Linked DNA regions of Coturnix japonica. The protein of the gene in region 2 interacts with the protein of the main gene of each other region in a pairwise test. Links are inferred from orthologs where the notes say so. Each region holds a gene or a part of one and is shown on either strand. Other genes may lie near its edges. The genes, in order: GRB14 and FGFR1.

Evidence for each region.
Region 1: the proteins of FGFR1 (region 2) and GRB14 interact in a two-hybrid assay, tested with the Homo sapiens proteins (2 studies listed by BioGRID, with this or other methods). The link is inferred for Coturnix japonica from reciprocal best matches to the Homo sapiens genes FGFR1 and GRB14.

The regions. Positions count from the first base shown.
Region 1 is NC_029522.1:26,424,668-26,431,218, forward strand, and holds part of GRB14 (growth factor receptor-bound protein 14), read right to left. Parts: intron 4,683-6,551; coding exon 4,545-4,682; intron 3,895-4,544; coding exon 3,784-3,894; intron 3,590-3,783; coding exon 3,494-3,589; intron 2,971-3,493; coding exon 2,890-2,970; intron 693-2,889; coding exon 576-692; intron 477-575; coding exon 419-476; intron 330-418; coding exon 242-329; intron 1-241. UniProt on the Homo sapiens protein: Adapter protein which modulates coupling of cell surface receptor kinases with specific signaling pathways. Binds to, and suppresses signals from, the activated insulin receptor (INSR). Potent inhibitor of insulin-stimulated MAPK3 phosphorylation.
Region 2 is NC_029537.1:3,723,703-3,730,957, reverse strand, and holds the start of FGFR1 (fibroblast growth factor receptor 1), read left to right. Parts: upstream 1-3,469; 5' UTR 3,470-3,673; intron 3,674-7,255. UniProt on the Homo sapiens protein: Tyrosine-protein kinase that acts as a cell-surface receptor for fibroblast growth factors and plays an essential role in the regulation of embryonic development, cell proliferation, differentiation and migration.

The DNA.
Region 1 (6,551 bases), on a different chromosome or scaffold from region 2:
GGCTCAGAGAGAACACAAGTAATCTGTCAGTGACAGAACTGAAGTGTTAGATCACCACTTTAATGCTTCCAAAAGACATAAAATAGAAACCAACTGATCCCCAGATAGCCCTATATAAAAGAATTTTTATTTCTATTAGGTAAGTGCAAAATCTTTCTTCCTCCATCTCCTTCCTACAATAAAAAGTAGAATTGTTGGCTAGAAATATGTCTCAGAAGGGTTATTTAAAGAATTAGCTTACCCATCTACAAGCCCATGCTGTAAAATAAGTCTCTGAGCTTCATCTCTAGAGATTTTATGATGAAACCATGACTGAGATCTGTGAATAGCTGTAGAAATAAAGATATTTTAAAAATATACGTTGGCTTTATTGAAACAACTGCTGCATTTCTTCTGTAATGAAATAAATCACACATACCCATGTTGGACATGGCAATCGGACTACCATGTGAGTTGAGTCGCAGACAGCCTCTCCTCTGTGTGAGAATTAAAAATGATTTCAATATTTTCTTGTTAAAAAAATAAATAAGTTAAGATTGAGAAACAGTATTCTGATAAAACAAAGATGTTTATACCCTCCAGGCTAATCCTTCTTCAACTGCAACGGAAAGGGCTTCTGTTGGGTTTTCTATAATTCTGCTTCTGTGTCCTGAGAAATCCATTGCAACTAAAGAATTTTCTGAAATGCTCCTCTGCAAAAAAGAAAAACAGATTTAGTCTGTTTCTCTATTTTATTATTTTAACTAATGATCCATGTTTTAAGATAGAGCTTCTGAGTAAGTGCTATGTTTTATAAACAGCGTTTCAAATATCTGCAATATTTCCCACCACAGCCAAACTCATTATACCACAGGTACAGCCCTGTCCACTGCTACAGAACTAAATTTCACAGCTTGGCAGGACAAATCATCTTTTTTGCAGAACTGTGATACATCTATACACACTTTTAACATAAATTCTACTTATATGTGTAAGGTAACTATTCTTAAGTAGTTCAAGAAAAAAAGATAAAATAAGAAAATCCTACCCGTAATCATCATATAAGCAAAGAATTAAAGTTTTTTGCTATAATTTATGTATTTATTGTAAAATTTTTCCCTCAAAGTTTACTGCATTTAAGCACTGGAAACAGGCACTTCTTTGGAGATTAAGTTCTGTTTTAATACTCCCCTTCAAATTCCTGGCCATCAAAGAACAAGCACAAATTCAACAATTATGCAATCTGGTATTTAAAAAAAAAAAAAAAAAAAAAAAAGCCTGATTTTTCTTTCCCTCCCAGTGAATATCAAGTTTTTAACAACAGAATAAAAACAATTTCAGGTCTTAAAGCTCACCAAAACACTACTTTGAAATTCAGGTTTATAAAAAACTTGTTTGATGCTGATTGTAATGTCTCAAACATTGGCTGGTGCTGCTATGACAAATAATTAAAAGAACCTTCCGGAACTGAAGTAACATCTAGAACACAGGAGGCCCAGATTTCTGTCCAAAACCAAAGGAGCTCTGTTTTGTCCCTGCACAAGGGTAACTAGAAACAGAAGGCAGTAATTCTACAGGTCACTGTAGTCTAAGGTCTGAGTAACTGTGACACTCGGCAAAAGCAAAATAATAGGGAGAATAAGACAGTGTCTGACTCTAGGAGAGACGAGGGAACTTCTTGTTGCTGGCAAGGTTATAAACTAATCTGGAATATGAAAACCTGAACATACTTTCTCTATGAAAACACTTTCTCTATTTTCAATAGCTTAATCACTTCATTCTTGAGTTTATTTTCTGTTTAACTCACAAATTCTAGACAAGTATAATAATTGTATCATGCTTAACCCAGTTATATATTTGGCACTAGAATCTAGATGTGCTATAGTGTATGTGGCTGTGCAAGAGGAGACAGAATCAATAATGGCTCCCACACCCATTATGAAAGTAGCAGCTGGCTATCATTAGCTTCTTGTAACAGACAGTATAAATAGTCTGTATATTAAGTGTAATTGTGAAGCCGTGCTTATCAGCAATATCAGAAAACAGTATTTTTGTGAATCCCCATAAAAGCAGATACACATCTTAAGTGTTTTGTCAGCAAGAACTACATTAAAAAGCTCAAAACAAACAAACAAACAAAAAAAAACCAAACATCATAATGGATCCTGGCAACAAGCAATTTTTACACAATTTAAACCATAAAAAGCACAAAGTGCTATACATCACTCAAAAACAAAGAAAAGAAAAAAAAAAAAGAAGTGACTGGGATAAGTAAGATAAGGTTTTAAAAGGACAACCTGATCCCAAATTATCTGGCTGAGGAGACAAACAGATCATCAGTCTACAGAGTGCTATGCCTCCAAAATGCACTTTTGCCAAATTATGGTGTTCCTCCGAGCTTCAGGCAGTATCACAACAGGTTAAATCCAATTTAAATAAATAACCATATGGGGCAGTTACAAAAAAAAAAAAAAAAAAAGAAAAAAAAAAGAAAAAAGACAGAGACAGAAGCATTACCGCATACTGAAAAGGATTTGTTAAGGCTTTCTTATTCATCGTTTACAGTACATGTAACCTTAAGCACGTTATTCTTTTTTAATGCATTTACAGTTCTGCTACTTTTTTTAAATCCTCACTGACAGTGATAATAAGCCAATAAACTCCCCAAATACTGACTATCTGACAAAAGAGAAAAGCCTGCTAACTGGTCTGAACTGCCCAACTCATATTAAATAAGTAAATTAATTAATTAGCTCTCTCATCTACTCAGATGCCCCTAAAGATTTCACACATTCAAAGCACATTTAAAATCTGCAGGACCAGGTCAGTAGTGTAACTGGCAAAAGTCACTTAAAAATAGCATGACTGCAGAAACAGTATATTTACTCATGGAGCTACTGTGGGACGTACCATAGGTGTTATACTCAAAGGGCTGCAGCCACTTCTACCTTGATATGGTTGCATGTAATTCTGATACAGCTGCATCCCATACTAAAAACAGAAAATAATATGGTTAGCATTTTAAACCATAAGCCTGAGCCGAAGAAACTTTCTTCCAGGTGTAGAAGGCAATGCTATGATTCCATGATTTTTTATCATTATAAAGTAGGGACAAATGCTGTTAAGATAATGAAAAACAACATCGTTTTTGCTTTAGTTTTTCTAAACGTACATTCTACATGAAATTCTGCTCATTTAATACATCAACTGACCTACACCTGTTTTTTCCACAAACACATTTTTAAAACATCTCATGTATTCTTGTAGCTTTGTTTGCCATTACCAACATTGTCTCTAAGTTCAGCAAAGTTACATATAAGTGCATCCCTTCCCTTACGATTATTCCAGTAATTTGGCCTGTCTGGTGAGATGAAACTTCAGCTTTTGTCGTACATTGATAGCATTGATAATGCTATTACATGGGAACCTATAATTATGTTATTTCCCTACTTCACACTATAAAAATTAACATAGTAAACTTGAGAAAGAAGTTAACTCCACACAGAAAAGTTACCTTAAACAACCTTATTGCTGTCATCCAACAGGTCCTACTTTGTTCATCATCTGCACAGAGCTGTTTCAGGTCTCTGGTTCCTCCTGATTTGTTAGGCTAGAAGGCCACAGCACATTTTTTTTTTTAGCATTAAAGCATATCTTGAAGATAATACCTGTTGAAATAAAAGCCACTAATTCTCCTATTTTATAACAGACAGCTGAACATTGTTTTCAAAAGCCTTAAAGAAACTTAAGCTTACCGAAAAACTGTGGCTTGCTTTAATATGTATCAGAATGATAAGCTTGTACCTTAAAGCAGAATCCATAGCTTGTTGGTGCTCCAGAAATCTTTTTGCCTGTCAAAGACATGTATATATCACTATTGCTGAATTCACAGAAAAACTGCAGATGCCTTGGCTCCTATAAAGAAGAGCAATGTAATACAGTTAGACTACTTTTAGCTAGCATCTCCAGATAAGAAACTCAGAATAGTACAGCAGTTCTCTTGTTCCAAAATAAGGTCTTACATCTCAGTTTTAACTGTGATGCTGTCTCATGAAATCTAGAAAGAGGCAACTCAAAATTCACTTCTTAATGCAGAGAACAAATACCTTAAACTGGTCAAATAGTTTGCTCTTCCAGACAGAAAACATGAAGTATAGAAGGCATCAGATTTCTGGGAAAATATCTACTAGATTCACGTCACAGTAGGAGTAGAATTTGGAAGTTTTGGGAGTAGAATTCATTTCAACCATCAAAATAAAATATACTTTTAGAATTTGAAAAACATCACACTGCAGTAATTACTGTTGAGTATTACTTGTAGCTATTACCTCCATCTTCCAAGATAACTCTAATTAAGTCAGGCAAAAATAAATAAATAAATAAATAAATAAATAAATAAATAAGAAGAATCTTTCCCATTACAATAGATAGAATACAAAACATTTCCTTTTTAATCACATAATGTACAATTTAAATTAGAATTAATACTGTATTAAATGACAAATACATATACACGCACTCTAACTTCAGAGTTCTTTCCTCTGGTGTTTTTTTCCTTGCCTTACCTTAGATGTACCTTTAGTGGAAAAGTAAAGGCCAGATCTTCTCAAAACAAAGTATAATTTTTTCCATGATTTTTTTCCCTGCTCTTTTGCATGTAAATAACCATGAATCTCAGGATATGTGCTGGAGCTTAGGAACATCTGAAAGAAAATATCAGCCACACATTTCTCTTTTTATCTGAGGTCATCTTGCTATTTCATTATCATCTTCAGACAAGACTAAGAGGAATATACTGCTGATAACACTATTACACCACAGTAATTCAGTTATTGGATCTAACCCCATTAAGAGTACCTCTCATTTAAAGCATACAGACTATTACATAACTCCAAGGTATGCAAGGCAAGCTACATATTTATATGGAACATATGGTTTGAAATGAGAACATTAGTTATGCAATATGTTGACTTCAGCAACAAAACCAGTGTAAGAAGTTCTGATCCCATACCTCAGACCCTATTTTTATAAAACTGCAAATCAATGCTACCAACAGAAGGAAAAAAAATGACATCTCTCCTCACCCTCCCCTGCCTGCTACAGACCAAAAAAGGGAACTGATGCGAATTAAAATTAATTCAGCAAACAAAATTTCTTTATCACAAATCCACACGCGTCTGGAGGATACTACCATTTTCTAAAGAGGAGGAAACATAAGGTCTCTGGACCTTATGTGATGCTAAAGCGGGTGCTTTAGTTGTACCAAGAGCTACAGCAGGTATTTACTGCCCGCATTCAAGGTCATGTGGTGGAGAGCTTTTGGCTGAAAAAATCTGCATCAGGAGCAAGACAGGAGGGGTTTAAAGACTCAGAAGGTCAGCCCTTTTGTCTTCAGAACCATAGGCTTGCACAGTCACAGACCCTTGGAAAGTCAGAATGATATGGATAGAAATTAACTGATGCACCAAGAGGAGCTAATTCAGTTTTTTATTTTGTGCAATTCAGCTAATTGCACAGTCTCTGCTCAAGACATCCACTGACTTCTGCTTAGCCATTTTAGCCAGACACTGATAGAGAGCAATACAGCTGTCACCTAGTGAAGACCAAATATATAGTTCTATTCTGTCTACAAAATTGTACTCTAATTCCATTTAACATATTCAGTTCTGTTCCTCTTCCTTCAGTAAAACCAATCAGAATTATGACTGACACCTAAACACACTAACCCAGAACTTTCCAATTTCTATGTATGCAAAGGAATTCATATTTCCAATATGCCAATGCACATCCAAGAGATGCTCCAAGAAACAGACCACATTTTAAACAAGTCACAAGTCCTACTTAAAATTATACACAAGTTTCACATCTAATCAAACCAAGTGAATGAATTTGTTGCCCACCCCTGAGAGTTACCAGTTCTCAAACAAAACAAAAAAAACCCTCAATACATAAAAATAATAGAATATTTCATTGTCATTGAGGTTTCTAATTAAAATCTACATACTGCATTGATTTTATTTCAAGGCATCCTACTTGCAAAAATAAGTAAATATGTATTCCAAGTAACCCAAAGTGACTGCAACTAGACACATGCATATGGAACGCTCACGCTCTAAGCAATATAATCACAAACTTGTTTACTTTTTAAGGCTAAGGATCTTTATAGCTAAGATTAATACCCCATCTTGTTGCATATAGACATTTGGCATACTTTGGAACCAGTGATTCTATTTAGCACATGCTAAATAGAGAGGAGGCAGGTATACATTTTGTTTGCTGTTGGTTGTTTTTTTAAGGCCATTTAGATGTTCTGATTTAAAGTCATGAGACAAAAAAACTTCCTCTTTTGCTTTCTGTGAAAGTCAAGAAAATCATACTTGAAAAACATTTTACTTGCTTACAGGTCAATCCACAAAAAGCTATAAAAGTATCAGAAGTGATTTTTTAATCATTTGTAAGCATTGATTTGTTAAGATTAATGTCTCTCTTGATACCTGACCGAGCACATCACAAATAATAACACAAGACCATTAACTTGTCTTAATGAAAGTTTCCAAGGAAATAGCAACCCA
Region 2 (7,255 bases):
AGCACTGCAGAGCCTTGAAGTGCTTTCTCCCCTGCTGAGCATTGGCAAGAGCTGCCCAGGTACAAGACAAGGATGCATGAGACAGACCCAGGTTTCCTGGGCAGACACTTTGGTCCTGCATGTAGCAGAAGTGTAGCACCAATGAAGCTGCAGCTACACATGCAGAGGGCTTCATGCAGTGCAGAGCCCACAGCACGGGTGGGATGCAGCCCATAGTGCTGCATATAGCCCATATAGCCCATAGAGTGATGGCTCTGGGGAAGCACTGAGAGCTGCCCTGGCTGCAAACACCACCACGCAACAGTCTGCCCCAACTGTTGTCTGCAGGCAGTAAAATAGCACCCGACGTGTTAAATGGGCTCTGTGGAATTTGGCAATTGCAAAGCAGCAGCACATTGCACTGCTGGAGGATTGCACCCTGCCTGGGCAGTGCTCACTGGGGATGAGAGGTGCCATGGGGACATGGCCAGCTGGGAACAACATCAGAAGAGGCAGAAAAGCTGTGCTCAGGACCCTTGAATACAAGGCAGGATGGCTTTTGTGTTTTGCTCTCCCTGGCTGTGCTGACTATGGCTCCTGCTCAGCTTCCCAAAGGCCACATCTGTGACCCCCAGAGCCATCCTGTGTGTGCCCTGAGCAACTCTAACCCTCTCCTCTGGCTGGGAGAGCAATGCCTGGGGCCATTCCCCTCCATCAGTATCAGACATGCAGCCAAGCGGCGCAGACAGAAGATATTTCAGTGCTGTTAAGATGCAACCAGCAAAGGAAAGAGCTGGTTTAGGTCGATGAAAATAGCAGAGGAACCTCAGAGAAAGGAGAGCACTCTTGCAGTGGCTGAGCTCAGTGCTGCAGCCCTTTAGCCTGGGACAGCAGCATCCTGGAGCCAGCATGGCCAGAGTGGGGCACAGGGAGGTGAAACCCAGCAGTGCTGGCAGCGATGTGGCTGCAGCCAGAGCCTCTAATAACACTTTATTGAGTCAGAGCAGAGAGGGAGAGAGGGGGCTTCCTGTAAAGGCTGTACTCAGCTCCTAAATCATGCCCAGCAGCTAATATTTGTTCCCTGGTGCTGCTGGTTTTCATGAGTCACATTTTCCCTGGGAAACTTGGTGTTCTGCAGGCTGCCAGGTCCACAGTGTCCCTGTGGCCGGTGGCAGGGTGGCCAGGACTGGGTTTGGGGCTGGGTTTCTCCTTCTGATGGTTCACCAGACATAGAGCTGTGCAACTGGAGAGCCCCAGCCTTGGGAAAGAGTGGCTGAGCTGCTTGTTGTGACTCAGATGTTCCAAGGTTTGCTCAGGTCGGCAGCACACCTGGAAGCTCTTCAGAGCAGTGCGTGGTCCTGCAAAGGCTGCGTGGCAGGAAGAAGCAGAGCAGAGATGATGGGGCTGGTGCAGGCTCCCATTAGAGCATGGTCTGGTTGTCCTGAAGCCCACCCAATGCACACATTGCCCTGGTACAGGTGCATACTCGGTGCACATCCAGCCTCCAGCACACTCATGTATGCGCTGCAAAGAACACACGTGTGCACACACAGCCCCTCTTGCAGGCAGGCAGACCCACAGCCAGGCAGAACCAGATGTGCTCAGGCCTTTTCAGGGAGGGATGAAGCTGCAAAGTCTTTGTCAGTCGGATCTTTCAGGGAAAGCTCTTTGTTATTCAGCATTTGCTCCTGCCTCCCCCCCCCTCCAAACCCAAACTGGCTGCATCTGCTTTTGTTTTCTAAATGCAGAAGTAGGGACTGAAAGGAGCCCCTTTGTGGTGGGGAGGAGGGGAGATCTGCGGATCTTTAAGTGGGAAACCGAAGGTCAGGGCAGCCCCTATTCTCCCAGCAGCACCTTCAGTTCTTCCCTTGCTGCCCAAGCACAGCAGCACATGCACACAGATCCTGTGGGCTGTTCTGCCAACGGAGCCTTACGTCCCTTTTATCCTCATGCTGTTCTTGATTAAGAGCAGTTCAACAACAATCCCGGGTTCCTGTGAAATCCCCATCTGCAGCACCTTGAGGCTGCATTGATAACGTGGGATGGAATGGCACATCATGGCCACACATGGAGAACCCCCCGGGTGGGCAGGGGGCACTGAGGCACCATCCCCAGCCTTGTGCCCACCAATGTCCCAGCAGACTCCATCACTCTCAGTGGCAGAGTTGGGTTTCCTGCTCTTCCAATAGGACCCATTTATGCTCCACTTGTGCCACCAGATGATGATAATTCATGGTCATTCCCACACTGAGCCCCAGTTTGATGCTGGGGATGTGGATATACCCCTGAGCCTCCTTGGGCAGGGGATGCTTTTCCTATTGTCTGCCAGTTCTTTTGCTCATAAGGGCCCATTTACCAGTGTCTGTTGATGGAATCCAGCAGAAAAACCATCACAAGAGCAAAAGGGACGTGATTCCTCTGCCTGCCTCTGTGCTTCCTGCTCTCAGCAGCCTCAGTTTGCCAAGGGAATAACGCATGGTACCTTCCCCTCCCTCTGTCCACACATCTGTCATCCTGGAAAGAAAGTATTCGTAGGTCTTGGCACAACACTCTGAACAGTTGCCTGAAGCAGCAAGAGGCTGTTCCTGAGATGGATGCCCAGCATTTGGTTCAAATATAGCGATGGTGATTGACAGGGCTAATTCAGCCTGTCCTCTTCCCTGTTATAACTTAATCACTTGCACATTGCCTCGCGCAGATCTTTCCCTGCCAGCCAGGAGATGTCTTCATTCTGGGCTGCCTTGGTGTGAAGCTGACTGGGGGCTGCTGGGCTGAACCCTGGGCCAGTTTTGGGGAGCTCACCCAGAGCTGAGCTCCATCTGTGGGTCAGGCCAGGCTGGGCTTCATGGCACGGCCATACACCTCCATGTCCTCAACTTGAGCATCCAGCACAAATGCTGCCTGTGTATGCAGAGATGTTTTGGGGTGCTGAGCTTTAGGGCAGCACCAGAGCTCAGGGAGAGGTTACCCAAAAGCACAGCACAAACTGCAGCAGTGGTGGTGGCTCCCAGGAAGGTGTTGGGTATGGAAACTCCATACAAATCGGCCCCACGATGTGGGTTAGGGGTAGGGATAAGGGTAGGGTGCCCGGGGTGTCGCAAAGCAGAAGATCTGGGGTACAGGGCTGCCCCACACCTGCTCCCTGTGTGCAGTGTAGGGCACACAATGGGGTGAGTCACAGCCGAGAGCAACGGAGCAACAATCCGGCGATCCCCCCGCTCCACGAGCGGAGTTTTCGGGGACCACCGCCGCCTTCAAACCCCCCCCCGCCCCACTCCCGAGAGTCCGTTCCGGGGCGGCTGCCGGCAGCTCAGCCCCGGGGGCTCCGAGGGGGCGGCCCGGCGGTGACTACAAGCCCCATCAGGCCGCTGAGGAGGAGGAGGAGGAGGGCTGGGAGGAAGGCGGGGGAGGAGCCGGCGGGAGGCGGCGGGGCGCTGCGGGAGCGGCTCAGTCCGGCGGCGGCGACTCGCGGCGGGGACGCGGCGGTGCGGGCAGCGCTGAGCGGCGGCCGTCGGGGCGGACCGCGCCTCCCGGGAGCGCATCCCGCCGCCACCTCGGGGCCGGGGTCCGCCATGGGGCGGCCGCAGTGAACGCGGCGGCGGCGGGGCTGCGCTCTCGCCCCGGCCGGGGCTCCCCTCCATTGTTCCCGGGAGCGGCGGGCACCGCGCCTCCGCCGCCGCCCCGCGGGACTCCGGTGAGTGCGGGGAGAGGGAGCGGGGCCGCGATTTGTGCTTCGTGCGGGGGGGGGATCGCTCCGGGATCGCGGCCATCCCCATCCGACCGGGGGGGGCGGCCCGACGGGGCCCCTCTGCGGGCAGCGCGGGGCTGCGGCTTGCGGGTACCGAGGGCGCGGGGCTGCGGTACCGGAGGTTCGGAGGGTTTAAGGACACCGGAGCGGTTCGGTGTGTGTGCGGAGGGGGTTCGGCTCTGAGCCCCAGGGCACCCCGGGCAGCCGCCCGGCGGCACTTCGGAGGCGCGGTGGCTCGGTGCCCGGTTCTCGGGTCGGTGCGTTCTGCTCGGTTCGGTGCCGAGCTCCGGGACTCTCCGTGTTGAGGATCCGGTGGGAGCCCGGAGCTTCTGCCCGGCCTGCGGCCGCCAAAAGTTACTGGGCGGGAGTCTGGAGGTTTCTAAAAGAAGATGGAGAAGGAGCTGGGATTGTTGCGTTTGGAACTCGAGATGTCGGGGCCTTTTCGGTACAAATCGGCTGCGGAGGCGATGGAAATGAGCCGGGCTGAGATCTTTGTGCGTGTTGGCGTGGGAGGTGAAGGGGATCGGAGCGTCCTTTGCCAGCATCGGGGAACGGCTCCTGCGTGTGCGCAGCGTGGCGGCCGCCTACGCCGCAGCATTGGCGACATCGCGGGGCTGATGCGTGCGGGACCGATGGGCGCGGGGCTCCGCGTGGTGCCGTGGGGTCACAGCGGTTCGGTTCTCGGTTTAAGGCCGGCGGTTGCCGCGGGGAACGAGCGGCGCTGAGTGTCCATTTGAGGCGGATTCCAGCGAGCGGAGCCGAGCGCCGTGTGGATTGTTGGATAACTCGGCGGTGCTCCGGGCGTCACGGCTCAACGGCCAGACCTCCAAAGTGCGATTTAGCGAGTGCTTGCGTTAACAAAACTGCGGCTTTGGAGGCTGCTCCCAGGCACAGGGAGATGGAGCTTTGTGCTCGGCACTGATTTGCAATCATGAGATCCCGGGATGTGCCCGGCCGGGATGCTGCAGGACCCCGCACCTCTCCCTCCGGCCAGCAGCCATTTTCCCCGCACAGGAGCACTTCCTCCCTTAATCTCCACCGTGCCTGGCATGCACCGTTGCTTTCTTGTGTTGCTCAGTGAGGATTAAAACAAATGAGGATCGTCCCTGCCCCGGCAGGAGCAGCGCTGTGCTCTGTGTGCACTGCGCCCACTGGGAAGGAGCCCGAGCTACTTTCAGGTGCAAACGGGATCTCTCTGTTTATATACCTGAAAACAAATGAAGTGTATTGGGAGCTGAGGATCTCCAAGCCCCCATTGCTCAGCCGGGCCTGGAGCACAGATGCTTGTCCCAGCAGTTTGACTTTACCCTCATTGGGACCTTCTGCTCCTGGGGATGAAGGCAAATGTGAGCAGCGGGGATAGGTCTGCGTGTCCTTCCGCCCGCAGTAGCTTTCCTGGGAGGAGCTGAGTGCAGCAAACCCCATCCCGCTCCCTCCCAGCTGGGTAACTACTCTGCCTCTAACAGGGGGTGGGGGCTGTGTCCCTGTGTCCCATTCTAGGGCAGCTCTTTGCTGGAGCACTCAGCACTACCAGCATGGAGCAGCCTTTGAGGGATCAGCATGCCTGAAAATCAAGCCCCCAGGTGGGCATCCCTTCTTTTAAACCTGATCTGCTTTTACTGAGCCTTGTGCCCCACCAGACCCCCATTCACATCACTGCATGCACGCAGTGCGCTGTAACTCAGTGCTGGAGCCGTTGGTGTGCAACAGGCTGCACCATGTGGCTGCAAAGGGTTAATGCTGAATGCAGCCCGCACAGTTGGATATTTATTTTTCCAAGCATGCGTCTGCTTTAAGCATTACTGATTTTCCCTATAGTTACATCTGCAGTCGTGTTTGCTTTTTATTTCAGCAAATACTTGGTTTTGAGCGGGCGGTTGGGTCAAGGAGTGCAGGGCAAGGAAAAGGTTCCCTGTGCCACCAGGAGCTTTGCCTTTGCTGTGCCCTTCTGCTGCAAGGGCACATGGAGGGGCTTGGAGCCAAATTCATCCTACATCATTGTCAGGGTCTCCCATTTGTGGTCACCATCTCCTGCCCATGGGTGGGAGCATCACCTCAGGGTCCCCATGTGGAGCAAATGGAGCCCCTTAGGGATGTCCTGGTGACCCTCCCAGCCCCATTCCCACCTGGGGTGTCCCGGTGCCGTGGCCCTGCTTGTATCCTCACCTTGGACACTTTCCCAGGGATGAGCCATATGCTGGGAAGGGGTTTCCCCACTGTTCTCTGCTCAGCATTGGGCTGTGTATCCTATGTGCAGCTCACTCAGCCCTGACTCACAGCACAGGGCGAAGGTCCGGGGTCATTTTGAGGACAGCAGGGCTGGCAGGTTGCACCTATGTGGGCAAAGGCTGTGCTGGGGTGGGAGCGTGCACAGGTGGGCATAGGGGTGTTCCTTCAGCTCCTAAATAGCCCCGTGGGTGTTGTGGCCGTTGTAATTGCAGGTCTCTAAGGGGCCCTTAGCTCTGGTTCCTCGCTTTCTGCTTCCATTTTTAGTCACTTGAATCCACCCCAACCAGCAAATTGCAGCGTGCAGGGACAGTGCTTGCATGGAAGGAGCTGGAAACTCACGCTGGGGCTGGAGCAAGCAGATTCCTTTGGGGATCCATATCTGCACACAGAGCGGAGCTGTGCATTGTGTGCACAGGTTGGAGGGTTCCTGGGCTGCTCTGCCTCGCGTGCATCACTATCCCTGCTGCAATGGAAACTCTCTGCTGTCGGCCCCTGAGTCAGCGCCCGCCCCACTGCAGCTGAGCCCCACTCTGTGCCCTGACTCACTGCTGGGAGCCGCTGTGTGCACCGTGCTGGGGGGGGGGGGCTGTAGCCACTCCACATTAGGGCATGTTCCGGGGGGTGCTGATAAACAAAACCTCAGAGAGACAGAAAATACTTTCCAGAAATGCCATTGAATTTGTTTCTTTCCATGAAGCGTTCCCACCTCCTCCTTCCAACCGCTGATAAATGGCTCACACTCCATCAGTGTTTTCACCAGCTATAGATAATGCCCGTGTTTGCTGGGTGTTCCTGTCCTTGTGTGAATAGTTTGGGTGCCAAATGCTGAAGAGCTGGTAAGGGAAGAGGCAAAAGCTGCCCCAGGGTTAAATGAGGTCCTTTGGGACAGAGGATGCCCCGTGGTGGGAAAGGGTTCATTGGGAAGCAGGAGCACGATGGCATCCAGGGCTCCAAGAGCACGTGGGGGGATGAGTGGTGGCCCATTACTCACTGCAGTGGTTACTCACCTTGTAGTAATGTGCATTGGAGCCAGATCCCATATGGCAAAGAAGCACTTGTTCACGCGGTGCGCTCCGCACGGGGCTTTGGGGTGATGTCAGAGCAGCACCAGGTGAGCTCATGTGGCTGCAGCTCCACCTCTGTGCCGTCCCCTTCACACCCTCTGCTCCTGGAGCAGCCATCCATCCCAGGGTTGTGCAAGATGGGGCACGGAGCCCTGTGGGAGCCCAAGGGGGCCATTAGTGACCGCGGGTGTCAGGACCTCGGCTGGAGGCTGTTGTGGAGCTGCAGATGTCGCGG